Caenorhabditis elegans: one gene and its partner. The protein of the gene in region 2 purifies or fractionates together with the protein of the main gene of each other region. This does not show direct contact. Each region holds a gene or a part of one and is shown on either strand. Other genes may lie near its edges.

Evidence for each region. Proteins that work in one complex are often made in the same cells at the same time.
Region 1: the proteins of acs-11 (region 2) and lro-1 fractionate together in Caenorhabditis elegans (co-fractionation; one large-scale study listed by BioGRID). This does not show direct contact.

The regions. Positions count from the first base shown.
Region 1 is NC_003284.9:6,268,402-6,276,001, reverse strand, and holds lro-1 (Lysosome-Related Organelle protein), read right to left. Parts: upstream 3,914-7,600; 5' UTR 3,913-3,913; coding exon 3,649-3,912; intron 3,602-3,648; coding exon 3,470-3,601; intron 3,429-3,469; coding exon 3,342-3,428; intron 3,221-3,341; coding exon 2,984-3,220; intron 2,936-2,983; coding exon 2,840-2,935; intron 2,796-2,839; coding exon 2,611-2,795; intron 2,561-2,610; coding exon 2,317-2,560; 3' UTR 2,234-2,316; downstream 1-2,233. Other genes in the region: W05H9.2 (Dynein heavy chain 7, axonemal), read right to left, coding at 5,338-6,241, 6,782-7,149, 7,195-7,600.
Region 2 is NC_003280.10:4,738,596-4,747,198, reverse strand, and holds acs-11 (fatty Acid CoA Synthetase family), read right to left. Parts: upstream 5,063-8,603; 5' UTR 5,061-5,062; coding exon 4,950-5,060; intron 4,896-4,949; coding exon 4,797-4,895; intron 4,741-4,796; coding exon 4,489-4,740; intron 4,009-4,488; coding exon 3,055-4,008; intron 2,163-3,054; coding exon 2,061-2,162; 3' UTR 1,919-2,060; downstream 1-1,918. Other genes in the region: eas-1 (putative Golgi transport protein 1), read right to left, coding at 5,988-6,029, 6,077-6,158, 6,311-6,386, 6,435-6,537, 6,583-6,674, 6,722-6,752; Serine carboxypeptidase ctsa-1.1, read right to left, coding at 7,487-7,823, 7,876-8,015, 8,350-8,603.

The DNA of each region.
Region 1 (7,600 bases), on a different chromosome or scaffold from region 2:
AATACTATTAAGTCAATTTTCGTAACGATTGTAAATACATTGCAAACACATTGCATACATTGCATAAGACATGACATGTATAAAATATTAGAATGACAAGTATACAAATTTTCTCGTTTTGAAATCAGTTGAACTTTTTCAAATATCTTCCAGAAATTCTTCGATTTGAAATTTCTAATTTCTGATTTTTAATATTTGCAGATTGATAGATTACTTGCAATATCTCTTTTTCACAGTATACATACATTTGAACGTTTATTCTACAAATGAGATCTATCAGTTATTTCTTGTAATATTGAAGATTGCCTTGATGACGATCACAGGCAAGAAAACGGTTAACTTCCTGTTATTACATACCTCCGTTACAACCCTAGTATCCGCCACCCATAAAAAAGGGTTTCAATCATTTTTCAAGGTTACGTTTAGATTCAACTATCAGAATTAACCAAGTTTCATGAATCTGTGTTTCGGTGTGATCTGATTTATTTTTGAGTAAATCAAACACCGTAAGTTGTTTCTGTCTACTACCCGCTTTCATTGGCTGTCGGTCACTCATCTTTTAAAACAAGGGAAACCGAAGTTGTGTTAGAGTGAAGGAAATGTTATTTCTTTTTTCTTTCATTCCATCGTTGATAGTTTTTCGTAGTTTTTGCAAATGCCCAACACAAGACAAAAACTAAGACGGTGGCCGTCAAATAGAACTGATATCAAGAACAAAAAAAGATGCATCGTACTCAGAAAATGGAAAAATAGAAGGCAAGGCCACAGAAGTCGTTCCGAATTTATGTTTCTCATGTCGGAAGAAGAATTTGTTTGACGAGTAGTACTACTACATAGGAATACCAAGAATCGAGTAATTGGAACTGTTTTTACAAATAGCTATGTCAAAGTCTGACGTGATCAAGAACGTTATCGACCTTGTATGTCGAAATTGAAATCTTTTCAATTTTAGGGAACAATAAAATGGAACAAAACTTATTTACACGAAAAAAAAAAAGGTTTAAAAAAATTTAAGCGCTAGTATTTCCAGATAAAGCTTACCGTATTTTTTCTTTTAGTCTTGCATAGACTTTTAGTCTTGCAATACTAATTTTCAATTTGTCCGTAGGGGCGCAAGACTAATAGAGACTACAATACTGATAGAGGCTGCAAGACTAATTTTCGATTGGCTTGTAAGGGTGCAAGGCTAATAGGGGTGCACAACTAATAGAGACAGTAAAACTAATAGAGGATATAACATGTGTTCTATTGAAATAATCAAAAATGAATTTTAAGATGGTGAAACAAGTAGATATAAAAAACTATACTCAAATGCTAATAGGTTTCTAAGTATTACAAAATCTACCTACAATGCTTCTGAAAAAAAGATCCCTCTGAACGTATTTTCGAGTTCAAATTACATATTGTTTCAGTCATTTTATTCAACGTGCAACAATCCATAATAATCATAATAATAAAAGGGCAACCACAAGTCACAACTGATTATATTTTTAGATGTCTATCATCTAGTTTGTAGTGATTTCTTAATGTTTCTATGATTTCTTAAACAGACTGATCACATGCTTGGGAACTGCTCATCGAGCAGAATAATATGACGATAATTTACGTCATTAAAGTACAAAAAAAAATACAAACTATAACCAAAATCGTACAGTTCAGTTATAATCGAATTTGGTTTTCGGCTGTCAAGTCTCAAGTCTCCGATTGCGGAAGTTATTTTGTAATTTGACGAGTTAATAATGGCAAAGGTAAAGCAGCACCAATGAGAAATTCGAGAAACTTTTCAGAAATGTTCTGAATTGTTTAAATTTACAGATGGAATGTGGCAGTTATTCGGTTTGCAAATATTAAACCTTTGGAATTCGACAAAAGTTTTTTGAAAAACGGAAATTTTGTTTTAAAATTTGTCATCCCACCAAAAATGTTTTGAATTTTTTCAATGCGTTTTTTTCGCTGCATGTAAGATTAATGTAAATGAGTTTAAACAACGTGCATACGGCAACGTGCATTGCCTTTAAAACATTCCAAAATCAAAACTTTCATTAAAAACTTCCGTTGAGATTGTTTAGAAAATTGGTTCCCTTCTTAATTTTCAATACATATGTATTCTTGAAATTATTTATTTCGTTTTTTGAAAATGTTTGAAGTTGACGTGGCATTATAATTTTTGGTTCCCAAATTTTAACACTAACAGGCTCCCTTAATTTGTTTTGTTTTTAATAATAACCAGGATCAATCAAAAAATTTATACGTGAAAAATGGCAAAACAATGTGCAAACAATTTTATAATACAATCACATGGTTATCGAACAAAGTTTAAAACTGCTGTTCTTCTTTGGCAGGAGCCAGTGGTAGAGCAGTTATTGGAGTTGCTGGTGGTGGAAGAAGTGGGGCTCTTTCTGATGTTGGATTGTAAACCTGGTTGTTGCCGTCGAGCCGTTCGTAGACAGAGCGTTGTTTGACTTGATAAACAATGATAATGATTAAGGCGATTGAAAGAAGGATGCACAGAGCAAGAAGAACCCAGGTTACAGTCTCCCATGCAGCTTTTCCGGTGATTCTGAAAATCGTGATTTAGGTATTTCTCGATGCTAATAGTAAGTAACTAACTCGTCAAGAATTGTTGCTTTCGGAGCAATATCAACGGGGATCTCATTAACCGGTGGTGGGGCTCCAGCTTGTTCAACTTTCTTCTCGTTCAAAACTTCTTTCAAGGCTGCCTTGTCAAGTTGACCCTGAAGCTTGTCCGAAATTTGGTTGGCCATCTTATCCTTAACACCTTGCCCGATTAGATCCTGATATCAAAAATTGCATGAAGACATTAAAATCCCTAAATTACCTGAATAAGATCCGAAAGTTCATCCTTCTTCTGCTCATATGTTTTTGCCTGATCACCAACATTCTTCCCCTGCTGCTCAATATCAGCAAGTTTATCCTGAAATCAAGATGGGAAATCAGTTGGAAGACATTGCCAAAAACTCACATTGATCTGTTGCTTTAAAGCTTCATGATTTTCTCTTTGTTCGCCAAGCCGTTGATTTTTCTCGTCAACGCGACGCTTCACCTCAGCAGTTACCAGCTCTTTGACTTGAGCCAAATCGGTTTTCAATTCCTCCAGTTTCTGTTTTCTTCTTTCATCAAGCTTTTGTTTGGCTGCATCGATTTGTTGCTTCAACTCTTCTCTTTGTTGTTGAAGCTTCTCAGAGGCTTGCTTCCATTTCTAGAATAAGATGAGCATTTATAAAGAAAAACCAAGTAGTAGTTAGTAATATCTTAATACAAATAAAGCGTCATTACTTCAAATTCTTATTTCAATTTTTTAAATAAATTGTGATTTATACCTCAATTTGCTCCTGCCTCTGTGCTTCTTTTTCTTCTTGTTTTTGCTTGATTTTGTCCGTAAAAGTTTTCACAAAATCATCAATTTTCTGAAATAATAATCCAAAAAATTTAAAATTTAAATAGTAACCTGTTGTTTTTCTTGCTCCTTGGCTTGTTTCTTTTCCTTAACTGACTCGACGAATTCTCCAACTTGTTGAGAAACCTCCTTCCATTTCTCGATCGCTGCTTCGGCTTCCTTTTTCTTGGCTTCAGCTTTTTCCTGAAAAAAATCATAAGAAAACTGATATTTAAATTTTGATTTGTGACCTGTTTCTCCTTTTCCAATTCATCGGCTCTCTGCTTAACTGCATCAGATACCTTTGAAAGCGTTTCGTTCAGTTTCTTCTGAGTCTCTTCCCGGTATTTGTCTCTTGCTGCTCTCGCATTTTCAAAATTAACTCTCAGTTCTTCTTCCAATGCCTTTTCCGTATCAATTACTGACTGGAAGGTGTCAGCAAGGGAGTAGTAGCGAACGGATGAAACGCTCGACGCAAAAAAGACAAGCAGCAGTGCAACTGAGAATGTTCTCATTCTAAAATGTTAATGATAAAAATCAATACAGAACTTATCAAATTGTAAAAAGAAAAACCCAGAGTGACTGTTCAACTGTCAGACAAAAAGAAAAGAGCCACCAATTGTGTGGGGTATCTTATCAATTGACTGATAGTTGGCTACAAATTAACGTCCGCCCAGTATGTTGTTGATGATGGAGAACGAGCAAATAAACACAATGACAATTAGAATCATAAGATTGATCTGAAATTGGTGTCTTTCATAATGAGCATGCTCGTGATACAAACTTGGAATTTATGTCAATATAATTTTGAGCTTGTTGTGCAAATAGGAAATTTCAAATCAATTTTTGAAAAGTTTTGCATTTGCTCATTTCTAAAAAGTGCATGACAAAGGCCGTAATTGTTGGATGTTGGATACCGTTTGCTATTTCAAAAATTACCTATTAATTTGAGGTTTGAGACATTTGAACTTGAATACTGAGCATTCTGATATAAAAAACATCTATTCGATTTAAAATCTTCAGAAATTTTGAAACTTTATATTTTCGGCAATGCTCATTTTCGGGCCCAAATTGCCGAAATTACTAATGAAATTACATTAGCAGTTGCAGCACTTTTCAGGTTCAAACAAAACATTCCGAAACTTGGCACGCGAGTTGAAGCCTGTTAACTTTAATTCACCAGTTTTAAGTTTGCACAATGTGAAAAAATGTGAATATGTTGATACACTGAAAACATAAGAAAAATTTTGACATAAATTACTTGAAGTCAATAAATTATTGAAAACTAATCTTGCTAATCCTAAATGAACTGCTTATTTCAGATCGAAAACTGACTTATTTTAACTTTTCTTAATATCCATTCGAACTAAAAATAAACGTGTCATGTGAATTAGTTCTAATTCGAGACTTGTAAAATATTTTACAGTCAGAATATTCAACTTTCAATATAACTCCACATTTCCAAACTGATCAAGAATTAGTAACAAGAATTAGTAATAAACATCTGAATTTATGAATTTCCGACGTAATAAATTTATTTTTGCATTCTATTTCAAAGTAATAACAAATCATTTTTGGGGTACCAAAAACTTGATTCGTAAATCGTACTTCAGTGCGCCAAACACTTTGGAACGTTGACCAATGGATGTTGTCATGAAACAATGGGAAAGAGTATGGAACAAAAGAGGAAATGATAATAAAAAGCTCACTAGGTCTTTGGTTTCAATAAGCCTAACCGGACAATATAAAATTAGACACATTTGAAGATGGGGGTGTATGATGAGTTTGGAAATGTGGTATCCGATAAAATTATACGTCTACAAATTTCGTGGGGAATTATGGTAAATTTTTTGAGCATGAAATACGTTGTGATGAGATTTTGAGGAAACAAAAGAATGTAGAACAAAAACAAAATGATATTCAATCAGCGAAAAAAGATATTAATCAAGTGGGATATTCAAATATGGTGCAGACATATCCGGCTCCATGTGCACTCTGCGAACATTGCGAATGAAGTTATCAATCACGTCATCTGGAACGCGATCGTCTTCTACGTCACCTTCATTCTCCACGAAGATGACATTTCCATTCATAGAAAACGTATTGAGAAGGAATGCAACTCTGGCGGCCTCCTCGGGATCAAATTGACGCTCAACGCCGTCCTCCTCTTCTTCATCTTCCTCTTCATCTTCATCATCATCATCGCTTTCCAATTCTACATTTCGTCTAACCCGACGACGTCCGACATTTGGTCCTTCATCTGTTGCGTAATCCGATCCGGTTTCCGAGCCAGTCTCTTCAGATTCTCTACCCTCTTCGGAGCCTTCAGCTGTGTCTTCTGGAAGATCGTCTTCTGGAATTGGTGTTGGAGTTCTTACACGGCATCTAGACGGCGGGTTCTTCATGTTGTTACACACATAATCCATGTAAGTCCCAGCCATCATTCTGGCAATTCTGTGAGCAAGGTAAGCTGTTTGCATTTTAGTTTGATATCTGATTCTAGAATTTGTGAGATCAATTTCTTGAATGAGAATCTGCGAGAACTGAGCCGCAAGTTGTTTGTAAGTCTGCCCATTGATGCGTTGAAAATGCATTTCTGCGTGGAACTCTGCTTCCAATGTTGCTCGGATCTCAACGCAGTGTGGTACGCCGCGATACTTGTCCATGATATGATGAATTCCGTTGATAATTTCGACACCCGCACGAAACTCTGGCTCAGGGTTCATCCAGTCGAGTTCTGATGCGGCAATTACTTCCTTCACTTTTTCTCGATCAACATGATCGTCAAAGTTTGAAACGAAGGCACAGATTCCAGGTACTTTGTTCAGCTGGAACATGACTCCACTGAAAAAAAATTCCATTAACATTCAATTATTATTATTATTCTAACACCGATGAAAAGAGGAGTATTAGTTCTGGGTATTTTAGAAACAAAATGTGCTCAAATAAAAACATTTTCCGTGTTGCAGACGAGCGAATTTGATTTTTTTGTTTTATCATCTTTCATTGCATATTTTGGGTGTATTTCTCACTATATTTTGTAAATTAAAGTACATACAATGCCGATTGGAATCCAGTTTTGGTACTTTTTGGATACCCATCGGTTTTAAATGCTTTAAATAACTTGAGATAAACGCCCAAAGTATGCAATAATGAAGGATAACTTAATACAAGCAAAATTCGGACAGTTGTGACGCGGGAAATTTGGCAAAAGGAGATATTAGCTTAATTTAGGCCATTTAATTTTTTCAGATATTTGTGAGAAATGCAATTTTGAAACTAGTTGATTTTGGTTTTTTGAATCATCTGCCTATCTGTGCAACCAAAAAATCCAGAACCTATCCTCCTCTTTTAATATCCTATCTCCGATGAAAAATAACTTACTCTATCTTTGGCCATAAAAGTTCGGCAGCTTTTGCGAAATGAATTTCCTTATTCAAACGTTTCAACTCCTTTTTTTGTTGTCTCAGATGCCACAACATTCGAGAAGCATGGTGCATCACAATGGGAGGGAATTCGTTTTCCGAAATGGTCAACTCAAATCTGATTTTTTTCAATGCAGCTTCATCGTGATCCGGTTCGACAAAAACGCCGTGGTTGATAGACTCTTTCTTAATGTAGAAATTTTTGACGGCATTGTGTACTTTGACTCGAAGAACTTCAAGTTTTCCAGAGATTTCCTTGTCCATGTCGTCATTTCGGCAACGCTCCACTGTCGTGATTTTGAGAAGTTGTGCCGCTGTGAGTAATACCTAAAATTTGAAACAAAATTCACCTCATGAACCCATTATTCTCACCGATTCTGGCACGCATTCGCCATATATTCCTTTTTCCTTGTCAACGAATAGAGCATAAACTCTCTGAATAACAAGCAACAATGCGTCAATCGAAGCCATGACCGCAATAAAACGAAGCTTTGGTTTAATGTTGAAAGGTTCACAATGAGTGATTTGATCCATGGTGCTCTTCTTCTTATTTCGCACAACACCACACAACTCGTTAAATTGCTCCATCTTCTGGATATACAATACTGCCCTTGTCTTGTCAAGGCCTCTCTCTTTCTTCAAGATTTTCAAAATCCTGCAAAAGTCTTGGCGAAGCTTTGTCTCGTTGGTTTGAAGTGCTTTGTCAAGCAAGTTCGCGTTGTCAGCTGATTGTGGGAATGGAATTCGGAGATTCTTCAAAAAGCCAAGTTCTTCCTTT
Region 2 (8,603 bases):
ACACCTTACGGCTTCTACAGAAGCTTTATTGTTGCAGAAGGGGAATTGATAAGGTAAGAAAATTTAAGAAAAATGAGTGAAAGCAAAGCTTCAAACTGCAAAAGTTTAAACTATAATTTATCAACTTTATAAAATGCGTACTTAAGGACCCAAAAATTTATTATGTAATTATATTACCGGGTCTCGCCACGACAAATTGTTTTATTGCGAAGAGGTTTGCGCCTATAAAGAGTACTGTAATTTTGCTTTTTGGAAGACTAATCAATTTTTGATAGATTCCCGATAAGAATATATTTATTTTTACATTTTTTGTCGTGTCGAGACCGGGAACCGTATTTTTGCCCAAATGTCGGGAAAGTAGAATACATTTGTGCACCCACTTCGGAATGTTAAGATAAAGTAGCAAGAACAAAAATAAATTTCAAATAAGCGAAGGACTTTTTTCGCTGCAAGACCCATTCAAAAATATGAACAAAAAGAAAAAATAGTTATCAGCTATCAGAAAAAAAAAACTAAAACGAAGAAAACAATGGCTAGTGTCGTCGTCCAGGTCCGACCACTCCGTCCATCGTCCTCCCATTTATAAAACTTTCAGGTCTCCATGATGTCTCTCCATTTTATGTACACTCTCTACAATTGAAAATACTTCTGAAATGATCACTTTGAAGGCGAAGTCACATTTTTCTGATTTTTGAAAGTTGAAAGTCGCCTTTTTCTTTTTCAATAGCTCTCTTATCAAATTCGAAGAAATTCCTACGCGTGGGTGGTGGCGACTAACCACTGTTCGGGGGAAATAACAAGTGTTATAGATCTTTCTTTGTATTTCTTTTTTGGACCGAGAGATGTTTGACGAATTGTATATGATTCATTCACGCTCCCGTTTGGATATTTTACAGCGGAATTTTTGATCCCAGCAGGTTCAAACTAGGTGCATGGGGAACTACTTCGAGGAACTTATGGATGGTTTTTTTAAACAATTCCAGATTTGTAAGTTTATTTTCAGGACAATTTTTGCCAGCCTCCAAGGCGAACGACGCCTGCCCGGGGCCTACCTAGTAGGCATGTGAACAGGTAGACACGCCTGAAGACGTACTTGCCCGCAGTGGGAGCCTTAAAAGTAAATTTATAATTTATAGAAAAATTTGCAAAATGGTACATTTCCTTACTTTTCTTTAGGTTTAGGCTTATGTTGGACGTGTAAAAATCATGAAATACGCTATTGTATATTCGTAGGACCTAGACATATCTACTTAAATGCGCACGGATTCGTTCAGGTGGGCCTCGGAATAAATCCGTGCGCCTTTAACAGGATATCTCAGAATTCTGCAAAATTAAGATACCCGCTGCTGCCACGATGAAAACATTTCGAATTGGGTCTTCTCGAAAGCGCCTTTAAGTTGTACAGTAACCTACCTCTCGTAATTTTGTGACTTCCTTGGGTATTGATTTATTTTGCATGTATTTGCAAAAAAAGCGGAATAATGGCTAAGTGGTTACTGTACTTTTTAAAGGCTCACACCGCAGTTTCAATTCAAAAAAATTCGTGGTGAGACCATAAGGAAGCTGACAAGCATTTCGAAGTACAGTATTTAGCACATCACACATCGAGTTTCGGCAAAGAGTTTCGCAAAAACCATGGGCAAATCTGTGTCATAAATCACTATACTCTTTCGTTTTTTATCTTCCTTTTTGTCTTTTCACTTCTCTTTATAGCCAAAGTTCTCACGGGCTTCACGTGATTCCAACATGTCCAAAACGGGTACACACTGACCGCGTAAGATGTTGCCAAGATATATAATATCATTGATGTTAATCTGATAATCAAATGTCTCTCATCTTAAGAATAGTCTGACTGATTACGGGGTCAGGAGGACAACGTCGTCCTAAAAGTGTGTGGAGAACAATAGAAACAAAAAATATCTATAAACAACTGTTATTTTCTACTGTTAAAAGTTGAAAAATTGTACAAAAGATTCTACAATACTTATGAAATATTTACAATTTGAAAATAGAAAAATGATATCTATATTTTGGGGATGTATTGTTGACTGGGAATGGAATTAGGCGAAGAGGTTCTTGTAGGTGTCACGGAGAACGTTTTTCTGGACCTTAGTGATGTGATTTCGTGGCAAATCATCCAGTACAATCACTCGCTTTGGAACCTGAAATGTTAGACATTGAGCTTTGATAATTTGATTTTAATATTTGTATCCTATTTGCAGAATAGGTATGTTATCAAACATTTATAAAAATCACATGTTTTTTTTATAGAAGTTGATTGAAAACAGGTTGTTATAACTTGAAAAATTACAAATATCTGAACGAGAATTGCGGTGTCCGATGGAAATTTGAAAACTCAAAAAAAAAGTTTTAAGGGGATTATTATGAGATTTTTGACGCAAAAGTACGGTACCCGGTCTCGACATGACACATTTTTGTTAAATGCAAAAAGTTGTGCGCCTTTAAAGAGTACTGTAACGTAAAACTTTAGTTTCTGCGGGATTTTTCATAATTTTATTTTAGTGCTTCTAATTAATAAATTACTTACTGAATAAGTAAGTAATCATCGTTAACGAAAATTTGAGATTACAGTAATCTTGGCGCACACAGAAAAAAAATGAAAAAGAAAATTGAAAACAGCAAGACGAATTCAATTTTTTTAAAGTTTTTCTGCATTTATTGATTAGTTTCACAACAAAAAAATAAAAATGGCAGAAAATATTAGCCAAACGCGAAATTTTTTTTGTCAAATACAAAAAGGTGTGCGCCTTTGAAGAGTACTGTAGCTTAAAATTTTTGTTTCTGCGAAATTTTCACCCATTTTCTATAATTTTTTGAATAAAAATATGCGTTCATTATAGAACTGAAAAAAACGCACAGATTTTGACATAATATGAAAAAAAATCGATGAAAAATTCGATGCAACGAAATTTCAAGATTACAGTACTCTAAAGGCGCACACTCTTTTTCATTTAAATTTGTCGTGTCCGGGTACCGTATTTTTAGCGCAAAAATCTTGAAATTTCGGATTATTTTTTAAATAAAAAAACTTGCCTTATAATTGGCAACCTTCTTCTTCATAATTCCAATAAGCTTCTTCTCAAACTCCTTCTCATCAGTCACCTTCTCCGACGGGACTACAATTGCAACAACTGCTTCTCCAAAATCTGGATGTGGAGATGCAATAACTGCAGATTCTTTAACAAATGGAAGTGTATCAATGAAATCTTCAAGTTCTTTTGGATATACATTTAATCCTCCAGTAATAACCATATCCTTTGATCTTCCACCAATCGTCAAATAACCATCCTCATCAAGATGTCCAACATCTCCAGTTTTAAACCATCCATCTTCAGTGAATTCTTCAGCTGTCTTCTTTGGATTCTTCCAATATCCAGCGAAAATCGCATTTGTCTTCACTTCAATTCCTCCATTTTTTGCAATTCTACATCCAACTCCTTGTACAGCCGGGCCAACAGTTCCAGCTTTTCTCTCTCCATTCAATGGATTAGTAGTCATAACTCCAGCTTCTGTCATACCATATCTTTCAAGAATCACTTGTCCAGTTCTTTCCCTGAATTCTTCAATTGTAGATACTGATAGAGGTGCAGATCCAGAAATGAATACTCGAACATTTCCGAATGCTTCTTTATTGAAATTCTTTGATGCCAAAAGTCTTGAAAAGAATGTTGGTACTCCCATCATAACCGTCGCATTTTTCATGTATTTTATACAATCTTCAACTTCAAATTTCGACCGCCAAATCATTGTTGAATGTGAGAATAAAGAGCAATGAAGGGAATAATAGAGTCCATGTACATGATAGAATGGAAGTGCATGTAGATTATAATCATTTCCAGTAAATCCCCAGTCTCGGACAATATCATGTGCGTTGTTAGACAATGATCCATGAGTTAAGATTGCTCCTTTTGGTAGTCCGGTGGTTCCTGAAGTGTAGCAAACTGATGCGGGATCCGATTTTTCGACATGTTCGATCATGGTGCATGCCTGGAAAATGTTGCATTTGAATATTGGGCATGGATAGTATGTATATTGTGTTTTCTTTTGACTTAATTTTGACATGTCAGTTTAAAGGCACACGATATTTTCCGGGTGGGTCTCGGCACGATCACGGCGTTTTTTGGTTTGATCGGTATTTCGATACCGAAAAATCCAAAAAAAAGTAGTCACTTTTGTACTCCAAACACTTTTCCTATTTTCCTAATATTCTTGTCAAAATTTTGGTTTTTAATTTTTTTTTCTAAAAACGTTCAGAATAGATACTGCACGGTGGCTGAGATCGTGACGAGACCCAAGCAGAAGAAGATCGTGTCCCTTTAAACTGGAGGCTCAAGTTTTCACGAATTTGTAAAGTAAAATTAATATTTTTTTCTATATTTCTTGATTAGCATCACAAGGAATTTGTGGTTTTTTCAATTTTGAATTTTTTTTTGAAAATTATTAAATTTTTCATATTTTCCAGCTTACATTCAAGCTTCCTGCTTCAGATGCCAACTTATCCTCGTTGATAACCCTGATCTTATCTCTGAAAACTTTATCCAATTCTTCATTGCACGAGACTAGAATCGAAGGTGTCGCATCCTTGATATAGTGAGCAGCTTCAGATTCAGTATATCCTGGATTGACTGGAATATAGAGTGCTCCGATTTGAAGACAAGCAATGTAGAGAGCAGCTGTATCGGTCGTTTTTGATACTCTAGCCATCACACGGTCTCCTTTCTGAGAAAATTTGAATTTGAAAAGTTGAATTTATACAATTTTAAAGATAAAATGACCTTTATATTGTACTTTTCAGTCAGAGCAGTTGCATATTGCCCAGTTCGTTTAACAAATTCTCCATAAGTCGTTTTGCGATCGCCATCGATAAAGAGGAGCTGGAAAATTATAAAATTATGGAAAAAACGTTCAGAAGGATATTGAATAGCAACCTTCGAAGGATCGGATTGAAGCTGAGCTTGACTGACAATATTGTTGGCTGCAGAAGAAGCGGCACGGAGCCCAATTTGTGGATGGACGGAGCTGACTAGACGACTGAGCATTTCTGAAATATCTAATTTTCTGTAATAGAAACAATGCTTTAAAATGAAAAATTCAAGAAAATTAGGCAACTTCTATTTAAAATTCAACTTTGGAAGTTTTTTTTCAAAGTTTTCGCATTCTAATTGCACAAAATATGCACAATACCGTAAATTTTCAATTTTTTATTTCAAAATGATGTTCAAAAATGCTTGATTTGGTTTTTAACCTTATTTCATCAATTTCTGCATTTTTTTTCTTTTAAAAATAATTTTTTCTACGAGTAAGAACTTTTTCAGTTTTTATCGGACTTTTCAGGTAGATTCTAAGTTTAAAACAAGGTTTTTGTTTCAAATCTGCAGTGCTTGAAAACAGGAAGCTGTAGAAAACTGAATTAAAATCGTGAATTGATCGGGTTGACCGTTTCTTATAACGAGATGTTGTTGGCCCTGCGTCTCGTATTCTCGATTTGTCATTCTTAAAAATGGCAACAAAGATAAGAGGTTGAAGGGAGAAGAAACCTTCGTCGAAATGAGTTCTTTGGTGGTGAAAACGTGATTTGTTTGATCTGAAGAACAAGCATAGAACATCATTTTTTTTGATCGAAATGAGTCATGTAATGGATATCGAGTCAGAACACAAGAAAAGGAAAAAAGGGAATCTAATAAATAATTATAATCACATTTTTCACCTAGGAACAGAAGAAAATGAAAGCGTATTATACAACAAAGGCTGAGGGATATTTTAGAAATGAGATAAAATTTAAAATTTTTAATAATAAATAAATTAAAATTGAATAATATTACACAGAAAATGTGCATTTTGGCCGAAATCGTAGTTGAACCGAACGTGATATGAGAGGAGAAGGGACAACACAGGAGAAAATATTTTCAACAAAAAAGAAAATAGAACCCATTTTTGGTGAGATTTTTGGGAAGATCCTGAACTTTTCAGACGGGGTACTTGGATTCTGGAGCAAGGCGATCGAGGACCTAAAACTTGAAATAATTGATAAAAATCCTGATTCGTTAGAACTGACCTGTCGGATTCCAGGAAGATATGTGATTGTTGAGATTCCGGGGATACTTCTGAGCAAATTGACAATTCCAGGCAGGAAACCACTGTAAATTCATTATTATTAGATTAAATTTAATTTCGTGAGCGATTAGTTCAAAATGTTTGTTACAAATCGAAGAAAAAGAGCAGAAAATTCAAGATATTGATTCTATTGCAAATATTTAGAAAACTCAACATTTTTTAGTCAAAAACTCACCCGAAAAGGACAATAAATCCCCAACACTCGGCAATCATTCCGAACAATGGGTACCCAAATAGAACTACCAAAATCCCTGAAAATAAATTTTTAAATTAAAATAATGAATTCCTTGTGATCGAACCTCCGAAGAAGAGAATGCTTCCTTTCAGTTTTCGGAATTCGAAGAAGAAAACAAGTGTTCGCTGCACGCCGATAATAAATGTGATTCCAACAATGAATAGAAGCTGAAAATAATAATTTTATGCTTTAAATTTACAATAAATACTTACATTTCCGATAGCTAAAAGAGCAGAATCAAGGAACATCAGCACTCCGAGAAATATGAAAAAGAAGCCGAACGTCGTTAACCCCACTCCGATTTCTGAAATGTTTCACAGTTTACATATATTTTCTGATTTTCAAACTTACGTTTTGTTGTGCTTACTTCGAAATTCATCATTTTGACTGGACCCAAGTGGTTTCTCTTTTAAACGGCTGAAAAAAATTAAATTCTCAAAAGAATCGGTCATAGAAAAACAAATAGAAGAAGATTATTGATTTTTTGAAATAAATTTGCGTTTCTTTTTAGCAAATGAAACTGATTTTATCTCGAATTGAAAAATTTAAGCGAAAAATCGGAAAATAAAACTGGAAATTCCGCGGAAATGACGTGTACGTAAAATTGCGGACCACGTGGCCGCCGTGCATTTCCGCGTGGCCTAGAAACTCGCACATGGCCGAAGTAGCGAAAATCGGCGGGAAAAAGGAAAATTTAAATTTGAATGGTAAACTTTTGAATTCGTAGTATTTTCGCTCAATTAATACGATTTTTATTGAGAAATTGGACAAAAAGTAACTATGTTGGTTGGAAGTGCCACAAAAGGCATTTTTGAGATTTCAAATCGATATTTTTTCGAACAAACAAGACTTTCCAATTATTTATTGACTATTTCCAAAGGTACAACGTATTAATAAGTAGAACATCAGTTTTATTAATCGAAATTACTTGAAATTTTAATCCAAACGTCATATGAGTAAACCGATTACAGTTATTTGGAAGCTTTCTGAAAAATATTTCAGTGTATTCGAAAATCACAAAATTTAAAAATCAAATTTCATTATTCAAAACTTGGAAAATTGACCAATAGATTGAAAAATAAATAAGAAGATAAAAATATTATTTGTTCTCCAAATTTAAAGTGGATGATTATTCAGGAACTGTTGAACGGCGTAGTACATTTGTGGAGCTCTCCATTGTGGAGCCATATGTCCAGCTCCGCGAATAGTGATGAAACTGAGCCCATCGAAAAGTGTCTTGAATCCGGCGATTTGTCTATCATACTTCCATGGAGTCTTTTTAAGTGTTCTACGAAGTCCAAGTTGATCAGAGAATTGCTGTCCCATCATAAAGTTGCAGGCCATATCAGTATCTCCATAGTACAAAAGAACTCTGACGTGGTTCTTGACGATCTTCTTGATGAATGGAGTCATATCGGTGTACTGCTTCTGGTAGGTAGTAGTCACCTTGTCACTGAAAATTTTTGTTTTGATCTCTGGGCTTGGGCTCTTTGGCTCAGGCTCACCTGCAGATATCCCATTTTCCAAGATTGAATGGAATGTGGATTGCCTTACGAACCTTTGGATTGTTCATATAGGAGAGCATCTCAGTATCGTTGAGGCATGGAACATCAGCCTTAAGTGGCTTTTGGGATTGAGATTTGTTCTGAAAGATACAAATATGAAGTGACTGCTATGGTGGTAATTATTGATCAAATTAAAAAAGTTTTAAATATGCAATTTGACCAAAAAAAATTCTATAACCTTTTTCCTATTTTAATTTTTTTTACTTGGATGGCAAAAAAATTGTTTGAATATAATCCTTGCAGGGTTTCGTTCACAAAACAATTTTCAAAGTTTTCAAAAAAAAAAACTGCTGATAATGATCTCATGACCGTGACACCTACCGTGACACTAGGTGAAAACTGAGTACTGAAAAATTTTCTGAAAAGTTTTCCAATGATATTTTTACATTTTCCCATTGCTGCTACCCCACATACTTTCAAAAATTGATAAAGGGAAGTCTTTGTTTGATTTTTCAAGAGCTCATCAAAATGGGCCATTGCTGGAGCAACTCCTCTCAACATGTGCTTCATTCTCTTGCTGTTCACTGATGGATTTGGATCACAATCTCTGTACAAATCATATGGATTCAATCCTCCGAACCACAAGAATTGGAAGATGTCCTCAACGAGAGTTGCACAGTGTCCGGTGACTTGAGTCAAATCACATGAATCAATGCATCCTCTGCAGC